Stegostoma tigrinum: one gene and its partner. The protein of the gene in region 2 interacts with the protein of the main gene of each other region in a pairwise test. Links are inferred from orthologs where the notes say so. Each region holds a gene or a part of one and is shown on either strand. Other genes may lie near its edges.

Region 1 (10,320 bases), on a different chromosome or scaffold from region 2:
AGCAGCTCCTGTTAACTACTGTGGCTACAGGATACATCAGGATTAGATTTTGAATGTGTCTGTGAGAATTTGGCTGCCTTACCTGTGTGGCAGTCCTTTTCAAAACATACTGCTTGCTTGCTGTGAAAAATATACCAAAGGAAATTAAGACAGTGGCACTTATCAGTGATGTGAGTATACACAGACGAAATATTTCCAAAAGTACAAAATAAAAGATGTGTACATACAATTACAATAGGTTTAGAAGTATCAGCTATTGTTTAATGGTAGCATGCTTGACTCCAATTCAGGAGACTGAGGATTTAAAATCCTGTGCAACAATTCAGTTTAGCATAGTCAGTGCAGTCAGAAGGGAGTACTGCAAATCAAAAAATACCATTTTTCTATTGAGAGATCCTATCTGTCATCTCAGGTGACGAAGAAAATCTCAAACCTTTATTTTGTGTTAAGTGGGGGAGATTACCTACAGTGTCCTGGCTAATATCTATCCTTCACACACTATCAATATTAAAAATTTCTTGATTCTGACAGGAATTTACTACATACAAAATTGACTACGCTGGTTTCTACATTACAATGGTGACTGTGATTTCAAAAGTATTTAGCTGGTTTATCAGCACTTTCAAATGTATCAAGACTGTGTAAGGAGCAAAATAAATGCAGAGCATTCTTTATCAAACAGGATATCAGAAAGCAACACTTCTCACTGTGACCCACTATTTCTCTCTATTTCCCAGTGACCCCTATTTTGATGCTTGGATATTACTGTGGCTCTTAAACAAGAAATGTGAGGGGAGAGGGTATGAAAGGGAAGGAGACCTGTGATCTTGAGGGGTTCAGGGGAAGGCTCAGTCTGTTGGAGGCATAGCACAGCAGTCATGGCCCAAATCTTTTTGCCTGCAACGTCCATGGAGTCCCAACTCCCACTCTGGGTAGTCCTGGCATAAAGCATTAAACGTTATGACTCTGTGGTTTAAACTCCAGTCTATGACCGTAACAATCAGCTGGATAACCTTCCCTGACTGCTACTAATGAACAAATGTCATATGTGGGAGGTGAGGTCAGCTCAGCTCAGATGTGATGCAACCACACAACAATTGAACTTCATTGTCTAAACTGTGACTCAAAGGTGAAATGGCAGAGGGGAGTGGCGCAGAGGGGAAGAGTGAGAGAGGAGCCACTAATCTTATCACCACAACTCTTCACTGAGAGTGGAAAGGGACAACGTTTGGATTGGCGGTGGGCAGTTAACATACAATTAAGTCTCAAAAATGGAAATAATGGTGAAAACTGAAAATGCTGCTAATGGATTATAAAATACTACTCTGCTGTGCAGGCAGTTGTGAAAAATGTTGCAGTAAAGGAATTTGGATACTGGAATAGATAAATATTGTAGGACTGGAGAAAGAGAATTGAAAATTATCTTTGGCTATTGTGCAAGGATGCTCATTGTGAAAACACAGCCTGATGGTGAATCAGTCCCTGTTTTAGACTATCAGCCCTTCTTTGCTACAGGCAAGCAACTCCTGAGGCACAACATCATAGTATCATAGGCTTGATCCTGTAGAGCATCCTCATTTCTGATTCAGGAGCTCATGGGTTTAGGCAACCTCCAGAGAACTGAGCACATAATCTTGGCTGACAATCCATTGCAATGCTGACGACGTTCAGCACTGTCAGAGATGCCATTTTTCAGATGAAACATTAAAGAACCTGCCAAACAATTGGAAGAGCTGGGGAGTTCTCCCTGGGGTCATACCCAAAATTCATCCGTCAACCAATATCACTAAAACAGGTTACTCTATCAAATTACCAAGTCAATCTATGGGTTTTTTCTTTACACAAGTGTTCCATTTCAGAAGTATATCATTGACTATTAAGTGATTTATGATATTCAAAGATCATGGGCAATTTTATGGGATCTTGATTTAACATTTTGTCTGAAAGACAAGAACCTCCAAAAGCATCCACCCACATTTGTTTTATACATTATAACCAATTCAGAGATAGTAGGAACTGCTGATGCTCGAGTCTGAAATAACAAGTTGTAGAGCTGGATGAACACAGCAGGCCAGGCGGCATCAGAGGAGCAGGAAAGCTGACGTTTTGGGTCTGGATCCTTATTCAGAAATAGAGGAGGGGAAGGGGACTCTGAAATAAATAGAGAAGAGGAGGCGATGATGGAAGGTGGATAGAGGAGCAGATAGGTGGGGATAAAATGGACAGATTAAGGAGGTGGGGATGGAGCCAGTACAGGTGAGCATAGGTAGGGAGTTGGGAAGTGGGTTGGTCAGCTGGGAGGGACGGGTGGGTAGGTGGGAGGGAAGATGGACAGGTCAAAGAGGTCATCCTCCTTAACTTCAAACTAAAGTTCCTTTCCACTGAACTTCAGGATGCCATCATACTCAAAGCTCTATGGTTGCAGGTTAAAGAATATATTCTTAGGACACACGTTTATGCAGTTTTGCCCAAGGTGAAATGATAATATAGGCATTTTTTTCCAAATAGATGAGGGAGAAAGACAGGACCAATGTAGTGCACCTGGACTACATGTGGCGCAAACAAGTTCTGGATCTAGAGCATTTTAGTATGAACCTATGTGCTACCTATTCTTTATACACACGATGTAATGCCCATTGAGAAGATTGAGGCTATGGTTACATAAACTTCTTCAGAGCACAGAACATCCAGTAGAATCTTTCTTGATATTAATGCATAAGATCGTACAGGCAAACAGATAAATTGCATTTATATGGTCTTGTATAAAGTTCTTTAAAGCATTATAGAGTCATAGGGTCACACAACAATGAAACAGGCCCTTCAGCCCACTATGTCTATGCCAGTTAATGCTGAAGCTACATTGAGATCCACCCAATCTGATGATATTACACACACTTTGGTCTAGCATGAGGTCCTAGTTGAAACAGAGCATCATTTCTGGGTCCTGAAAGAGTTATGTCAAACTAGCCAAAAGTAACCTATACCTATTGCTATGATGTAGTAAGCTGCCTCTTGTTAACACGTCAAATGGATTCTTCTTAAGACCCATCAAAAGTCTTCCCTCTATCACAGATAATTATACACTCAGCATACAATGGATGATTGGTAGCAGCACCAAACCCCAACCATAAGTTATTTCCTCACCAATAGGATTGTACTCTAGTTGGAGATTGGCTATATGTCAGAAAGCGCAAAATAATTGGAATATCAGAATTTTTCTTTTCCTTTTTGGGACAACAGAAGTTCAGAAGTTTTGTGCAGGAACTGTGGAGACTAGCAGACCTACTGGTAATTTGTGACAAAATCTTGCTTTAAATTTTAAACAATGTGCAGCAAGCTAAACAGTGTCATGTCAACTGTTTGGGCATTGCAACTACAGTACTAAGTAGCATTACTGAATTTTTCTTTTGTGGAATATTGACCTGGTCAGCAATTATTGCCTATTTCCTTGAACTATGTACCTTGCTTTGCTACTTCAAAGGGAAATTAATATAGGATAAACCACATTTCTGTTGGAGTCGCACGTAGTCCAGACTGGGTAAAGTCAACAGATTTGTTTCCCTCAAGGGCATGAGGAAACAAAATGGCTGTTTGATCACTGTCATGGTTATCATCACTAAAACTAGCTTTTACATTACAGATTTATTAATAGAAACGAAATTTCACCAACCACCATAATGCGATATTAATCCATATCCTAAACCATTAGCCTTAGTCTAACAATTAGTGGTACTACACAACATCACAATCTCCATCCATTCCAATGCCCAAACTACCCCAAGTCAGGATGGTGTGTGGCTTAGGTGGGGGGTGGGGGAGGTTGGAGTTTGAGGCAGGTTGTGTTCACATCTGCCCTCTCACCTTGCTACAGAAATGTCACTTTTATTTGTTTATTTACAGCATAGAACAGAATAGAGCAAGGAGCAAGGTCTCACTTACCGACGATCCTGCAGCTCTGGCAGGAGTACTGATACTTTCTGTAATTTTCCTAGAGATGAGAGTGGGGAGCTCATTGTGATTACAAACACCTTGCTCAGACCCCTTAATAACTCTGCCACAGGGTCTAGGATCCTGTCTCACACTGGCCACTGGCTGGGATCTTCTTCCACACGGACCACTGCCCTGGATCCTGTCCCTCACTAGCTACTGCCCTGGATCTTGTCACAAACTGGTCACTGCCCGGGTAACTGTCCCACACTGACCACTGCCTGGGATTCTGCCCCAAACTGACCGCTGCCCTGGATCCTATCCCTCACTGATCAGTGACCAGGCTCCACTATCCTCTCCCACGCTGACCGATGCCTCTAGCTTTGCTTCTCAGCTCCCCTCTAGCGCTAAGCGGGTTAGAGGGCTGTCGGGGCTGGGCAGTATCCTGAGCTTCTCCCCGGGCAGACTTATTGTTTAATACGTTGCTAAGAAATGCAGTAAGCAAATAGCTGATTAGCAGCGATGAGAGCGGACCACAAATAAAGGTGAAAACTGATTGGACACTACCGAATATTTATTCTGCCAATCAGAGGCCAAACATCTTCAACAAGTGGTCGCCCCATAATCAAAGGTCAAAACTTTCATCCAATTCCGGAACATAGATCTTAAACCAACCATGTCCAATGACTGATCATCACCTCCATTCATTCCCTGACCAGTCACCTCCATCCAATCACTAACTAGATCCTTCCGTCCAATTACTGACAAGTAACTGTGAGCCAATCACTGACCAGTCGCCCCCATCCAATCACAGATTGGCCACTTCCATCCATTCTGACCAGTCTCGCTTATCCAATCGCAAACCAGATCCCTCTGCTCAGGTGGAGTAATACTGGAGTTAAAGGAAAATGGTTAAGGCATTGGAGGTAGTTACTTAATTTCTACATATAGTAAAAACTGCCAATGCTAGATAACACAGCGTGGAGCTGGAGGAACACAGCAGGCCAGGCACATCAGAGGAACAGGAAAGCTGATGTTTCGGATCAGGCCCCTTCTTTGGTCCCAACCCAAAATATCAGCATTCCGCCTCCTCTGATGCTGCCTGGCCTTCTATGTTCCATCAGCTCCATGCTGTGTCACCTTATCTCCAGGACGTCTTTACAGGATGTCCTGAGAATAGTGTCCTATGACCATAAAATATAGGAGCAGAATCTGCTTCTTCCAACTCAAAAGCTTGAGAAAAAATTCTCAATTTGGAAATTGCACACTAAGAATTGTAGTGAAGGTATAGAGATTGCTGAAAACATGAGTATACAGTACAAAAATTCCTTAAAAGGCAATTGGGCTGCAATTGAAAAACAAAAAGGATCAAAAGACATTATTTAAAAAAACTCAAACCAAGCATCATTCTATTTTTCTTTTGAAATGTTATGCCTGTCAAGTCTTTCGACTCTATTCTCCTGCCTTCCTCCCGTAACTTTTGATCCTCTTACTGATCAAGAACCTATCGCTGTCTTAAGTGACGTCTTAAGTCTCAATGACTTGGCCTCCACAGCACTCTGTGACAATGTGTCACTATCTTAGACCCAACTATCTTCGCCTCCTTCATTGTTCGCCATTAAAGGAACAGAAGTGCTGATGATTATACAATGTTCAGTACCGTGCTCATTGCCTTTGATACTGAAGCAGACCATATCGAGGCTTGGGCTGAAAAGTGGCAAGTTACATTCATGCCTCTCAAATGTCAGGCAATGACCATCTGCAATAAGAGATTAACTAAAACAATTTCCCTTAACATTCAGTGACATCACTATCACTGAATCCCTCACTATCAACATCCTGGGGTTTTCCACTGATGAGACATTTAAATGGACTTGCCATAAAAACACAGTTGCCACAAGACCAGGTAACAGGCTTGGCATCCTGCAGCAAGTAACTCACTTCCTGATTCCACAAAGCCTGCTCACCATCTACAAGGCACAAGGCAGGAGTGTGATGGAATACTCCCGACTTGCCTGGATGAGTGCAGCTCCAACATCACTCAAGAAGCTTGGCTCCATCTAGGACAAAGCAGCCTGCATACTTGGCATCTACATATGTCCACTCCCCACAACCCTGATGCTTGATAGAAGCAGCGAGTACCATCTACAAGATGCACTGCAAAAATTCACCAAAGCTTGTTAGCACCTTCCAAACCCACGACCATTTCCACCTATAAGGACCAAGGGCAGCAGGTACATAGGAGCACCACCATGTGCAAGTTTCTCTCCAAGTAACTCACCATCCTGGCTTGGAAATATTTTGCCATTCCAACACTGTTACTGGGTCAAAATCCTGAAGTTCCCTCATGAAAAGCATTGTGGGATTACCCACAGCACATGGACTGAAGTGTTTCAAGAAGGCAACTCACAGCCACCATATCAAGGGGTACTCATGACCAGCAATAAATGCTGGCCCATGATGAGTGTCTTGTCTGAATGCCCGACAAGACTCCATAAACAAGTCCTCTACTCTGAGCTCCACAATGGTAAGCAATCATTAAGAGGGCAGAGCAAATGCTATAAGGGCACCCTGAAAGCAAAACAACATCCTCACTGACACATGGGAATCACTTCCCTTAGAACACTCAATCTGGAGAAGAATCCGTGAAGACCCAAAGACTTGTCACTGAATGGAGCACATGGACGTTTAGCAGCAGAAAGAGCGCAAACAGTCCAGGGCATCCCACTCACCCACCCACCTCATCAAACAGTTCCCATCACTTTACTGATAATCAAGAAGCGACAGAAGAGGCAGTAATTAGTTGGATTTCTCCTAGTTCTATTTACAGACCAAACCTGGACATTTTCCACATTGTCTATATGTTTGTTGATTGAAGTGTAGGTGGAGAACAATGCCTCTAGGAAATCTCATGCATGTCTATGTTTGGCTTGGGCTACTATGGTTACTTTGTCCCAGTGGACATGCACAGGAATTCCGAGAGGCATGGTTCTCCACCCATAATTCATCAACAGACATATAGAATTGGACCCCACATACAAAGCCATACAGATCAAAACTGGAAATGACAGTACTTGCCATAATGGGCTGGGCAGTATCAATTCCAAGTGGAGTAAAATAACATTGTTTCATCGGAGGCTGCACTGATGATGTCACCCAGCATGGTGACGAGACGTCTGAATAGAAACAGGCCTGCTCAGCAAACAAGTCAACAACCTCATTCATAAACCGAGATACAGATCTTTGCCAAAAGTTTACACGAGAGTTGAATGCAGTATCCTATAAGTATTGCAGGATTGCTATTGGGCCCCATAGCCTTTGTAGTTTCTGGTGCCTCCAGCTGTTTCTTGATTCACCCAAGATCCTTAGACAGCACCTTCCAAAGCCATAACCGCTTCTATCTAGAAGGACAAGGGCAGCAGATTCAAGGGAGCACCATCACTTGCAAATTCTTCTCCAAGTCACTGACCATCCTGACTTTGGAAATGTATTGTCATTCCTTCACTGATGCTAGGTCAAAATCCTGGAAATTCCTCTCAAAGGGCTTTGTGGTTCAACCTACAGAACGTTGACTGCAGTGGTTCAAGAAGGCAACTCCATACCATCTTTTCAAGAGCAACTAGGGGCATTTCCCATGTCCCACAAACAAATAAATAAATCACATGGAGTGAATCGAATTGGCATCAGTGATGCTGATAAATTCTGAAGGAGGTTATAATGGATCATGCACTCAGCATTTTTGGCTGAAGATTGTTGCAAATGGTTCAGCATTGTATTTTGCACTAATGTCCTGATCTACCCTATTTTTGTGAATGGAGATATTTGTGGAACCTCCCTCTCCAGTGAGTTGCTTGTCCAACACTGTTCATAACTGAATGTGACAGGACTGCAAAGCTTAGATCTAATCTACTGGTTGTGGAATCACTTAGCCATGTCCATCACTTGTTGTTAATGCTGGTTGGTCTACAAATTGTCTTAATTTATATATTTATCAGATTAACACCTCAATTTTTAGGTATAGATGGTGCTGCCCCTGGCATGCCCTCCTGCACCCTTCATTCAACCAAGGTTAATCCCCTGGCTTGATTGAAATGGTAGAGTGGACAATATGTCAGGTTCTATAGTTGTAGATTGTGTTGGAATGCAATTCTGCTGCTGCTGATGAGTCAGTGTTTCATTGATGCCCAGTTTTGATTTGCTATATCTGTTTGAAATCTTTTCCATTTAGCCTGTTGATAGCGCTATTTAGCTCATTTGGCTGGGTTGTTGGCTTGTGACCAGAGGTGATGCTAAGTAGTCTGGGTGCAATTCCTGTGCTGCTCAAATTAACATGAAGGATTCTCCTCTGCTTGCCTGAAGTGCAGTGACCCTCAAGTTAAGCTCCCACCAAGTGTCTCTTTCTGATAAGAGCGCAGCCAGGTGGTCTGGTTAGAAGCATCGTGACTTCACCTTTTAGTTCCACATAACACAATGGAGGGTAGTCTCATTGTGAAGGCAGTGTTTTGTCTCCACAAGAACTGTGTTGTGGTCACTGTTACCAATAGTCTCATGAACAGATGCAGCTGCAGCAAAAAAAAATTGGTGAGAATGAAGTAAGGCATGTTTTTCCACTGTTAATCCAGAGACCCAGATAATGTTCTGGGGACCCGGGTTTGGCTCCTTCACCACCTACTGCACACCCAGTCTAGCAGCTATATGCTTTAGGATTCAGCCAGATTGGCCAGTGGTGGTGCTGCTGAGCTACTGTGGTTGTGAACATTGAAGACACCTCCCCAGAATATATTCTGCACCCTTTGCATCTTTAGTGCTTCTCCACCTGATGTTCAACACGGAGGAGTATTGATTCAGCAACAGGGAATGGGGGTGAGCAGTATATGTTAATCAGCAGGAGGTTTCCTTATCCATGTTTGACCTCATGGCATGAGACCTAATGGGGTCCAGAGTCAGGTTTGAGGATTCCCAAGACAACCCCTTTCCAATTGTGTATCACAGTGTCGCCACCTCTGCTGGGTCAATGTTGCTGGTGGCATAGGACATAGCCAGGGATGGCCTCTAGGACATTGTTTGCAAGGCATAATTCCATGATTATTACTGTGACTTGCTGTTTCTCAACTAATCTGTATGACATCACACCCAATTTTGGCACAAGATGCTAGGTGTTAGTAAGGAGGGTGTTGGCAGGGTTCACAGGGTTGTGTTTGCCATAATTCTTTCCGGTACCTCAGTTGATGCTGGGTGGTGCATCTCGTTTCGTGCCTTTTTTGAGACTTTCTAGTGATTGATAAAATGGAATGGCTTGCTAGGCTATTTCAGCGGGCAGTTGGAACTATATCACCAAGGCTTCATTCTTTCTGATTCAGAAGTCTGGAAATCCCTTATTAGCAGCACCATGGTGTACCTACACCCCAAGGCTGCACAGATTCAAGAAGGCAGCTCATCACCAATTTCTGTAAGGCAATTAAGGATGGATTATAAATGTTGGTCCAGCCAATGATCTCCGCATCCCATGTACACATTTAGAAAAAAGATCAACTACATATAAGAATCAACTTTAGAATACATCACTCTGAATTGATGTCATACCCACAATGGCTACAAAAATCAAAAGATTGCTTTGTAAGTTGATATCATGAGAAGGACAACGAATGATATTTCAAATTAACCGGAAATAATTTCTGAAGAAATTGCATTACATGGCAGGACTTTCAGGGAAATGTGTGCCAAAAAGGGCACGAACATCCAGTCCACATTACCGCAGATCAAGTGGATTTTCCAAGTGAATATCTGGCACCTTTTATTTACATTCTGAAGTGTAGATCAATTAAACAAGGTTTTCCTGGTACCATGTCATACCTCAGATTTACACTTCTAGATACGGAATTATCATTATCCGTAAAGATCATATTTGGAAGGTACTAAGAACAATGTTGCCAAACTGCCACCTATCTAAATTCTCGAAGAAGCAGGACACACTTCTCAACAACGAGAGGACGAAGATGATGCACGACTGGCATATGGATGCAGATCTAACTCAAATGCATATTGGACAAAAGGTCGGAGTCACATTCCATGACTGGAATCTTGTTACCCTGGTATCCAAACTACGCAGTGACCCTAGGCCTTACAAAGACATGAGACCTAATGGAGTAACGCTGAAGTGGAAAAGAAGTCAGTTAAAGGAAATGTACAACACACTAATTGTTCGGGCCGAATAGGCAAGAATACGGTCAGATAACTCCAGTGTGATAGAACACAAGGACAACAATCAACACACTGGAGGCACATCTACAGCCAAAGGTGAAATCAACACTTCCAGCATTGAAGGGGAAGGTGATGCCTTAGCGAAATCTGGAAGGTTGTAAGATAATAAATGGACTATTAGACTTCTCCACT
Region 2 (10,105 bases):
ATGCCAAATTTCCTTAGCAGCCTGAGAAAGAGAGGTGTTGTTGTGCCTTCTTAACCATTGCATCTATGTGGCAAGACCAGAACAGATTGTCCATCTTGTGACTTCGAGGAACTTGATGCTCTCCACCTTTTCAACCTCCGTTCCATTGATGTAGATGGGGGCATGTTCTCCTGCTTTCTCTTTCTGAACTCCATGATCGATTCTTTAGTTTTGTTGACCTTGAGAAAGAGGTTGTTTTCATTGTGCCATGTCACCAAGCCCCCTCTTTCTGTATTTTGACTCATTGTTGTTAGATATCTGTATTTCTACAGTGGTGACATCAGCAAACTTGTAGGGGCATTCGTTTAGAATTTGGCAACACAGTCGTAGGTGTACAAGGAGTATGGAACGGGACTGAGCATACATCCCTTGGTGGGGGGAGGTATGCGGGGGATCCAGTGTTGAGTGTTATTGTGGAGGAGGTGCAGTTACCTATCCTCACTGATTGTGGCCTACGGGTCAGGAAGCTGAGGATCCAGTTGCAGAGGGCGGAGCCGTGATTAAGGTCACACAGTTTTGTGATCAGTCCGGAGGGGATAATGACGTTGAAGGTAGAGCAGTCATCGGTGAGCAGGAGTCTGATGTAGGTGTCTTTGTCCTGATGTTCCAGGAATGAGTACAGGGCTAAGGGTATGGCATCTTCTGTGAATCTGTTATGTCAGTAGGAAAATTGTAGGGGATCGAGTCAGGTGGGAGACTGGAGTTGATATGGGCCATGGCCAGCTTCTCGAAGCAATTCATTGGTCCGAGCCACTGGGCAGTAGTCCTTAAGGCATGCTGCATGTGTTTTCGTGGGCACGGAGATGATGGCGATCTTCTTGAAGCAGGTGGGGACTTTGTAGGAGGGAGACATTTGAAGACGTCAGTGAATACCTCCACCAGCTGGTCTGCGTAGGATTCGAGTGCTCTGCTGGGGACATTATCCGGGCCCATCGCTTTCTTTGGGTTGCCTCCCAGGAAGACTGATATGATGCGTGCAACAGTGACCAAGGGAAAGATGATTTATCTGGAACTGTTGGGGCAGGTGTCACTGTGCCACCGATATTTCATTCAAACTAAGCATAGAAAGCATTGAGAACATCAGGGAGGGTTATAGAGATAGTAGGAACTGCTGATGCTGGAGAAACTGAGACAACAGGTCAAAGAGGCAGGGATGAGGCTGATAGGTAGGAGGTGTGGGTGGGGGTTGAGGTGGAAGAAGCAGATAGGCAAGAGAAAAGATGGACAGGTCAGGGAGGCGGGAGGAGATGGGCTGGTTTTGGGATGAGGTCGGGTGTGCTCAGCTTCATTTTTAATTGTGTAATGTTGGTTAGAGCATGCCATAGACAGTGCAGGACTGTTTGGAAAGTCTGGGCCTCTACCTTGGTCTGGCATTGCCTCTTGGCGTCCCTGATGGCTTTGCGGAAGTCGTATCTGGATTTCCTGTGTTGTTGGTCTGGGTCACCCAACTTGAATGCTGCACATTTAGTCTTCAGCAAGGAGTTGATTCTCCGGTTCATCCAAGATTTATGGTTGGGAACACTCGGATTGACTTCTTTAGTCCACAGTCCTCCAGGTATTTGCTGATGAAGTCAGTGATGGTGGTGGCAAACTCACCTCAGTTTTCTACTGAGAACTTGAACACAATCCAGTCCACTGATTCCAAGCAGTCCCGGAGACAGTCTTCCACAGCTTCAGACCATCATTGTACTTCCTTTCATGAAGCTCCTTCCCGTTTCAGCTTCTGATTATAAGCTGGGAGGAACGCAATGCTGTAATCTGATTTTCTGAAGTGTGGGCAGGGGGTTTGGAGCAGTAGGCATTTTGAAGGTTGTGTAAGCAGTGATCCAGGATGTTTGGTCCCCTGGTGCAGCAAGAGATGTGCTGGAGGTACTTTGGCAGCACCCTCTTGAGGTTGACTTGGTTGAAGTCACTGGCCGCACTGAATAAGGCCTTGGGGACTTTTGTCCCTAGTATCTTTTGTGGCAGTGTAAATTATGTCAAGGGCATTCTTCACATCGACATGGGTCAGTGTGTCGATTGCTTATTCTTACGGTATTCTGCTTTTATTTCTATCTTCAATTTCTTCGATAACTTTCTCAATTTAGCCTTAGTCAAAGATTTTGAGTATTCCATTGTTACAGTTTGTACTTCCAGATAATAGCACTTGCAACAGTCAAGCTATTTTGAATGTCCTACCTATATCCAAAGATTTCATGTTCTTTTATTTTGTGCTTGGTATCTTCACAAACTCGTATGTTTAAGATACACAGATCGCTCTTAAATTCCATGAATTTGGATCCTGCAAAGGCCCCCACCGTAAGATCCCAGCTGATTGGAATACCGGACAAGTGAAATTACCGAGTGAGATCTGGCTTAATCAGCCAAATTTTGTCCTTCTTTTTCTTTACTATGGAAATCAGTAATTGAACATATTTTCTTAAGTATCTTTTGAACAACTTGATGTTTTATTATACAAAAGAAAAAGATGAACCATGTTATGCTGTATAAGAACTATTTGAAATGGTCTCATTACAAATATCAAAAAGAAAGATTCAACCCTTTTCATCAACAACCTTACAGACACCCAGACCTCAGTGAAGGATCTCCCCACTCCACTTTACAGTCGTATTTGCTGAATAGTCTGTTTCTTTTCAGTAAATTTCTGCATTCACTCAATTATGTTTTTTTTTCAGTTAATGTAATCTTGAGGCCCTTAAATTGTTACCTCAACTCTTATTGCTTAAAATTTGTTCCATAAACTCATGTCTTTAACAGCTTGAGCCTTTCTCCTTAACAACTGGGACTTCTGCCCATTCTTGCTCTGAATATTTTGTTAACCCTGCTGTTGCAGACCGTTTACCTTTGCATGAACACTGCCTGACTTCTTCTAGATTGTTGTAACTTTCTGTTTTACTGAGCTCCCGTCACAGGCAACAATGGTTTTTCTTTTGTCTCTTCTATCTTTTTATGTGAGTGCTCTGAACTGATCACCTCCAGCTGTCCAAGGCTGTAACCATCACTTAAAACAAAAATATAAACAAAGACAAAATTTCCTGGCACTAAAACTCTCAAAGTGAAACTAAAACCATGTTTTCACTCATCTAAACACATACAATACAGAAATACAAATCAATCTCAAAGCTATCTGTTATTCTTCTGGGCACTTTCTTGTTTTTCTGCGTCAGTTTTTAATCCTGTCTTTTGTATGTTTAGGTGGAGCTGGAGAATGATGACTTTGTACACTTTTCACTGCACTTGATTACACATCAATAAAATCTAAATCAAACAATATTACTATACTGTAAGCCACCTTCACAATTGTATGACATGGCTTTTGCATGCCACTCGTCAGCCTAAAACTTAATGTTGTCTGGGTCTGGCTTAATAAAGTCACAGATATCTTCAATATTTGATGAGCTAGAAATGTTGCTGAACATGTGCAATCATCTGTGAATGTCAACACTTCTGACCTTAAGATTGAAGGAATGTCATTTACATATGATGTAAACATGGTTGGGTATAGGAGATGACCCTGGGGAACTCATGCATTGATATTTGAGGACTGAGCTGATTGCTGTCCAACATCCACAGTCCCTTTCCTTTGTACTAAGTATGATTAGAATCCCTACAGTGTGGAAACAGGCCCTTCGGCCCAACAAGTCACACTGCCCCTTGAAGCATCCCACCCAGACCCATCCCCCATAACCCACACACCCCTGAACACTACATGCAATTTAGCATGGCCAATCCACTCTAGCCTGCACATCTTTGGACTGTGGGAGGAAACTGAAGCACCCAGAGGAAACCCGCGCAGACACGGGGAGAATGTGCAAACTCCACACAGACGGTTGCCCAAGGCTGGAAATGAACCTGGGTCCCTGGTGCTGTGAGGCTGCAGTGTTAACCACTGAGCCACCGTACTGCCCCCAAATCCCACTGTTTGCAGTTTTGTGAGTGCTCCTTGATGTCATACCCAGTCAAAAGCAGTTTTCATATAAAAAGTAGGCAGCCTCACCTCCTCTCAGAATTTCAGCCCTTTTGTCCATGTTCAGACTGAGGATGCTATGAGGTCACGAGTTGAGTGGGCCTGGCAGAACCTGAGTTGAGTGTCAGTGAGTAGGTCATGCTGTGTCAGTGCCATTTCACAGCACAGTTAATGATCCCTTTCAGCACTTGGCTGATGATTCAGAGTGGACTGATGGGGCAATGATTGGCTGTGTTGATTTGTCCTGAATTGTGTGGGTAGAGCATACCTGGGTTATTTTCCACATTGCTGGGTAGATGCCAGTGATGTAGCTGTGCTGAGCATTGCTTGGCTAGGGGTATTGTTACTTCTGAAGCAGAAATAATTGAAATTTATACAGTGTCAGAGGACGTGGATATATGTGATGCTTGCAGTTATTAAACTGCTGAGCCCCCACTTTCCCAGACTATTTATAGAATGACAGCTATCCCACGGTTGATGTATTACACTGTTTGGCTGGCTCGCTGGTAATCTATCCTCATTATGTTGGTGGACAGCATCAGGGCCTGTACCTGGGATTAAATGACTACTTCGAGAAAATTAAAGTTGAGGGGGGAAAAAAAACTATCTGAAACAACCTGTGTTTATGCCGATTGCTGCTGCTGTTAGACATTTAGGCCACCAGTGCTAACTATGGTATCAACTGCGAGCCGCAAGCTGTCCTTCTCACACGTTAGAGGACACACACGGGCTATTGATCCACGCACGGTGTTACTTGATTTCCCGTTCCCAATGTTTCGCTGCCTGAGAAACGGCTCCCTCTGTCTCTCCTTATCCTTAACATCACTGTGATTTTCCTCTTTCGAAATGAAGTCGGGGATGAATCCCGCGTGTGGCGGCTTCAGTGATTTGTGAACGGATTTAAATCTAATTCCTTTGCTTCACTGACGTCAGGAGCCTGTGACTGGACCGGGTTTTGCGGGTGTTTTGGCGGGGGGGGGGGGAGGAATCTGTCCTGTCGTCCACAGTGCTGCTGATTGTGCCAGAGCCGCGTTTTGCAGTCTCCGCTGATCTGCTGTGGGCTAAGGACGAGCCCGCGGGGAAAGGGGCGGCGAGAGTAAAGTTCACCGCCCCGTCTCGCTGGATATTGTTGCATTCTGTGCGGTCAACTCAGGCCAAAGAGCTTCAGCTCACTTCGAGTTTCTTTGTTACTCGCACCGATATAACTATGAATAGACCGCAACGTTGGCTCGGCGTTTGTGTTAAGCTGTCGAGCCAGCATTGATCATGTAAGTTGCACATACCGGTTCGATTAAAGTCGTTTGCAGTTTTTTTTAAAATGAGTTCACTACTGTATTCTGTGTTAAAGTCAGCTGGATAGCTTGTTCTCACAAAGCCGCACGCCTCTACTTGCACGGCTGATGCTAGTCTCCTTTAACTGAGTGCCCCTGTGTGTAACTTGTTGTTTAGGTCGGTTCGCATTGTGGCTCTGGGCAATGAGAGAGCAGGATTTGAGGACAGCCTGCAGCAGCCGGATCTGATCACCACCTATTTCGGCAGACATGCCATTATCCGGCACGTTGAAGAGAGACGCTTGCTCAGCTTTGCCACCCACATCACATTTCCTGCCTTTGTCGAGTACCAAGCTTATGTCTTCGGCAGAGTCCGAGTGCTGATTCACGACTGTCCCAGTTGGGTAAGGAGATAAAAAGTCACAATGGGACTTACAAGATGAGGTTCGCCGCTTAAGGGCACCGGAGATGTACGAGCGCTTTGTAATGTTGGTGCAGCCCACCCCGTACTTGTCCCTCATGTCAGTGGTGCGCCGTTTTTGCTTCGGGTAATCCGGTAGACCCTCTGATGTGCTAGCGTGAAGTTTGCAATTTCAAACCGTGCGATTTTATCAGAAGCATGTTATGTGGAACAGTGATTTCCCCCATTTGTCTTAAAATTGAGACATTTATTCGCTTCATTTGTCCGTGTTACATATTGTCTATTTGCACATAGGTCTAATGTTCAACACACGACCAAAACATCTCGAGTCATACTTTAACCCTGAGACAAATAATAATGACCAATTTTGAGCTTTCAGGAAAAAGGGAAATAATTGCTTATTGTTCTGCTGACTCCTGAGGGTCTTACCACAACTTATGAAAGTCTACAGAATATTTCCACAGTAGTTATTCTTTAATTGACCTCAGGAAGTGCCAATTTAGACTGCAATCCTTGTGATAGTAAGCAAGGTTATCAAAAATTACAGAGGGATTTTTGTCAAAAGTGGAAGTGGGTTGAGGATTGGCAACTGTAATTCAATACAGATAAGTGTGAGGTGTCGCACTTTGGAACTTTTGCCCCACCCCTATAACGACCAGAATAGGTGTTAAAGGCAGTACATGAATGGAATGCTACTTTTGGAACTGGGCTTAAGGTTGTAAAAGCCAGTGTGGGAACTGAACCCTGCTGTTGGTATTACTCACCAGCTAATTGAGCCAACCAACAGTGAAGGGGTATACCATTGGGAAATGAAATCCGTCATAAATGTGAGGATAGGTTTCATAACCGGGCTTAAGGCTCCAAATTACCTGAATAATAGCGGTAGAGATCAGTTACCAATATAATAATACTTTGTCAGAATATACACCTGCAGTTTAATTGGATTTCAATTCCTGACACTTATTTTAAAGAAAAATCTTTCAGAAATTAGCTCTGAGAGACTAAAAATGCTGCTAAGGTATTTTCAAGTTAACTAGAATAATTTTAAAATTAACAAAAAATGGCCTGAATTATGCAGTTATAAAAGGCCAATGAAATAATATAGCCCTTCCAAGCACATAACTGCCCGTATATTGAAATGGGGGAATAGTGCTTTCCCTGTTTCAATGCAGACATTGCTACTAAATATCCAGATCACTTGTCTTGGGAGTGACGAGAAGTAAGTCAATCAGAATGTTCAGTACTGTTTTGGGAATTGCTACAGGCACCTATTAACAGTTTGTTTTAATGAAGTGTGAGTTTCATGTAACAAACTGCAGGACCATTTCAATGACAGTCATTGTGTGAGTATGTTATTTTGTTAGCAACAGCGTAGCTGGGACTAGCAATATTCAAGCCTACCCTCCCATCTCACCCCTACCCCTAAAAGGATGAATATAGGTGTCAAGAGCCGTACATGAATAGAATGCTACTTTTGTAATGTACGATTAAGACTCGGCAGCATGTCATGCAGGTAGACATAAGCTCCAGTAAGTGCGCACTCAGGGAGACGAACAGCGCAGAATTCAGATGACAAGACCTTCGCTGGCAACAGCTGGAGTATGACACAAGCAAAATGGGATAAACTCTACCTCACTGGAAGCAACACAAATAACTGATTAATATTTAAAAGAATATAAATGAAATTTGAGGTGGCTGATAGTTGTATATGACATATTGTCAAGAACTGAGCATGCGATGTTATGTGAGCATTGTTATATGGTGTCCTATACAGGACACAAAAATTAACATGAATAAAAGGAGATAGTAGGAACTGAGAGCTGGAGACAGAGATAACACAGTATGGAGCTGGAGGAACACAGCAGGCCAGGCAGCATCAAAGAAACAGGAAAGCTGATGTTTTGGGTCAGGACCCTTCTTCAGAAATGGGAGAGGGGGCATGGAACTCTGAAATAAATAGAGACAGGGGCTGGGGCTGGGGAAGGTAGGTGGTATGGTGATAGGTGAGTGCAGGTAGGCAGCGGTGGGGATTGGTCAGTGAGGCGGGAGGAGTGGATAGTTGGGAGAGAAGCCAGGTAGGCCGGGGTGGGGAGAATGGGTGGTTGGTCATGGGATGAGGTCAGGGGTGGGGAGATTTTGAAACTAGTAAAGTCCACATTGAGACCATTATGTTGTAGAGTTCCAAGGTGGAATATGAGATGCTGCTCCTCTAGTTTCTGGATGGTGTCATTGTGACACTGGAGGAGGCCCAGGATGGACACGTTGTCCAGGGAGTGGGAGGGGGAGTTGAAGTGGTTGGCAACTGGAAGGTGTCATTTGTCACAAACAGAGTGCAGCTGCTTCACAAAGCGGTCTCCAAGCCTCCACTTGGTCTCACCAACATAGAGGAGGCCACGTCGGGAGCAGCGGATGGAGTAGACCACATTACCATTCTTGTAAACCTCTTTGCATGCTCTCCAAAACATTCACATCCTTCCCACAGCGCAACACCCAGACTGTACAAAATACTGAGGTCTAGTAAGCGCCTTGAATTCATTCAGTATCACCTCCTTGCTGTTGTGCTCTGTGCCCATATTGGTAAAGCCCAGGATACCGTTACTTTACTAACTGCTCTTCCATCTGTCCAGCTGGCACCAATGGTCTGTGCACATATACACCTCTAAAAGTCTTTGCTTCTGCAACCCTGAAAAATTGTAACCTCCATTTTATGTTGTCTGTCCATGTAATGCAAAATATATTACCTCAGTCTTTGACATTTGAACTGCATCTGCCGCTTACTTACCCATTCCGAATACTGGTCCTTTTTCCATTGTGGCATTCCACACTTTCCTCCTCATTGTATACAATGCCATGTGACTTTGTATCATTTACAAACTTGCCTCCTGTTTAGCTAGATCTAAATCATTAATATGTACCAGGAAAAGCAAGGCAGCCAATTCCAACCTCTAAGGAACTTCACAAATCTTCCTCCAGCCCAAAATATCCATTCATTATTACTCTTTGTTTCCTATTGTTCCACTAATTTTGCACCCACTTTGCTATGGTCTCTGTTGTTCCATGAGTTATAACTGTTCTAAATTGTTCTGACATGTTTCACCAGTCTGATGTGTGACACTGTATTGGATACCTGTACAGGACATCAACAATATTATCCTCATTGACCCTTTCTGTTGCTTCTTCAAAAAAAATCCAGCAAGTTAGTAGCAATCTATGCTGACTCTTCCTAACTAACCTAGCACTTGCCATGTGACTACTAACTATATGCCAAATAATTATTTCCAGAAGATTTCCCCTACAGAAGTTAAACTAACTGGTCACTGATTGCTGGATTATTTTGAAAATCTTTTTTTGAACCAGAATGTAATATTCACAATTCTGCACTGGCACGCCCCAAGTCCAGGGAAGATTGTGGCCAGAAGCCCCTAAATTTCCACTCTTTCTTCCTTCAGTATCTTTAGATGCATTACATTGGCTTCAGTAATAAAAACAGAAATTGATGGGAATACTCAGTAGGTTTAGCAACATCTGTGGAGAGAGAAAGCAAAGTTAACATTTCAGGTCTAGGGACCCTCCTTTAGAACATTGTACTTGAATGCCTTGTCAACTTTTCAGTACTGCCATTTTATCCAACACTTCCTCTACTCAATTTTGAATCCTTTTAGTGACTGACTTTCCTCTGTCACTATGGCTTGTGTAGCGACCACATCCTTGGTGAACACACATGCAAAGTATCTGATACCTTAGCCATGCAACGTGCCTCCATATGTAAATTCCCGTTTTGGTCCCTAATCGGCCTTACTCCTCCTGTTGCAACCCCTTCAATATTTAAATACCTATAGAAGTCTTAGGAATTCTCCTTTATGCTGGCTCGCTGTCATTTCTAATGGTCCCTCTTTGCTTCTTTAACATGCTTTGTTTTATATTCCCGCTGGACGTTTTCTGTGTTCCTCTTGTTTCTCCATTGTATTTTCTGCTTGACACTTGTCATAAGCACACTGCTTCTTCTTTATCTTATTTTCTATTTGAATTTTTAACCAGGGAGTTTTGAATTTGTTTGGTGTATCTTTCCATTTTGAGTGAATATACCTTGACTGTACCCAAAGTATTTATTTTTTGAAAGTAGGCCATTGTTTTGGAGGTTTTTCCCTTTGTTCCAGTCTATCCAGCTCAGATTTATTTGGCTCTCCCTCAGTTAATAATTGTTTCTTTAGATTGCCTTCTGTCCTTTGTTATCAACATCCTTAACCCAAACCAACACAGTATTTAGTGAACTGGAATTAGAGAAAGCAGTATGATAGTATGTTTACATTTACAATTTCATGGCATCTGTGGTCAGAAATAAGCTGAATTTACATGGAAGGGAATTGAGTTGGTAATTTTCCAGCAGGCAGAATTGGGATGGAGCCT

What was found.
Region 1: the proteins of rhobtb3 (region 2) and ubxn11 interact in binary tests that used the Homo sapiens proteins (3 or more experiments, as listed by UniProt). The two-hybrid records come from large-scale screens. The link is inferred for Stegostoma tigrinum from reciprocal best matches to the Homo sapiens genes RHOBTB3 and UBXN11.

Annotation. Positions count from the first base shown.
Region 1 is NC_081377.1:31,744,363-31,754,682, reverse strand, and holds the start of ubxn11 (UBX domain-containing protein 11), read right to left. Parts: upstream 4,382-10,320; 5' UTR 4,014-4,381; coding exon 3,940-4,013; intron 121-3,939; coding exon 83-120; intron 1-82. UniProt on the Homo sapiens protein: May be involved in the reorganization of actin cytoskeleton mediated by RND1, RND2 and RND3. Promotes RHOA activation mediated by GNA12 and GNA13.
Region 2 is NC_081356.1:88,473,108-88,483,212, reverse strand, and holds the start of rhobtb3 (rho-related BTB domain-containing protein 3), read left to right. Parts: upstream 1-5,007; 5' UTR 5,008-5,272; coding exon 5,273-5,274; intron 5,275-5,455; coding exon 5,456-5,681; intron 5,682-10,105. UniProt on the Homo sapiens protein: Rab9-regulated ATPase required for endosome to Golgi transport. Involved in transport vesicle docking at the Golgi complex, possibly by participating in release M6PRBP1/TIP47 from vesicles to permit their efficient docking and fusion at the Golgi.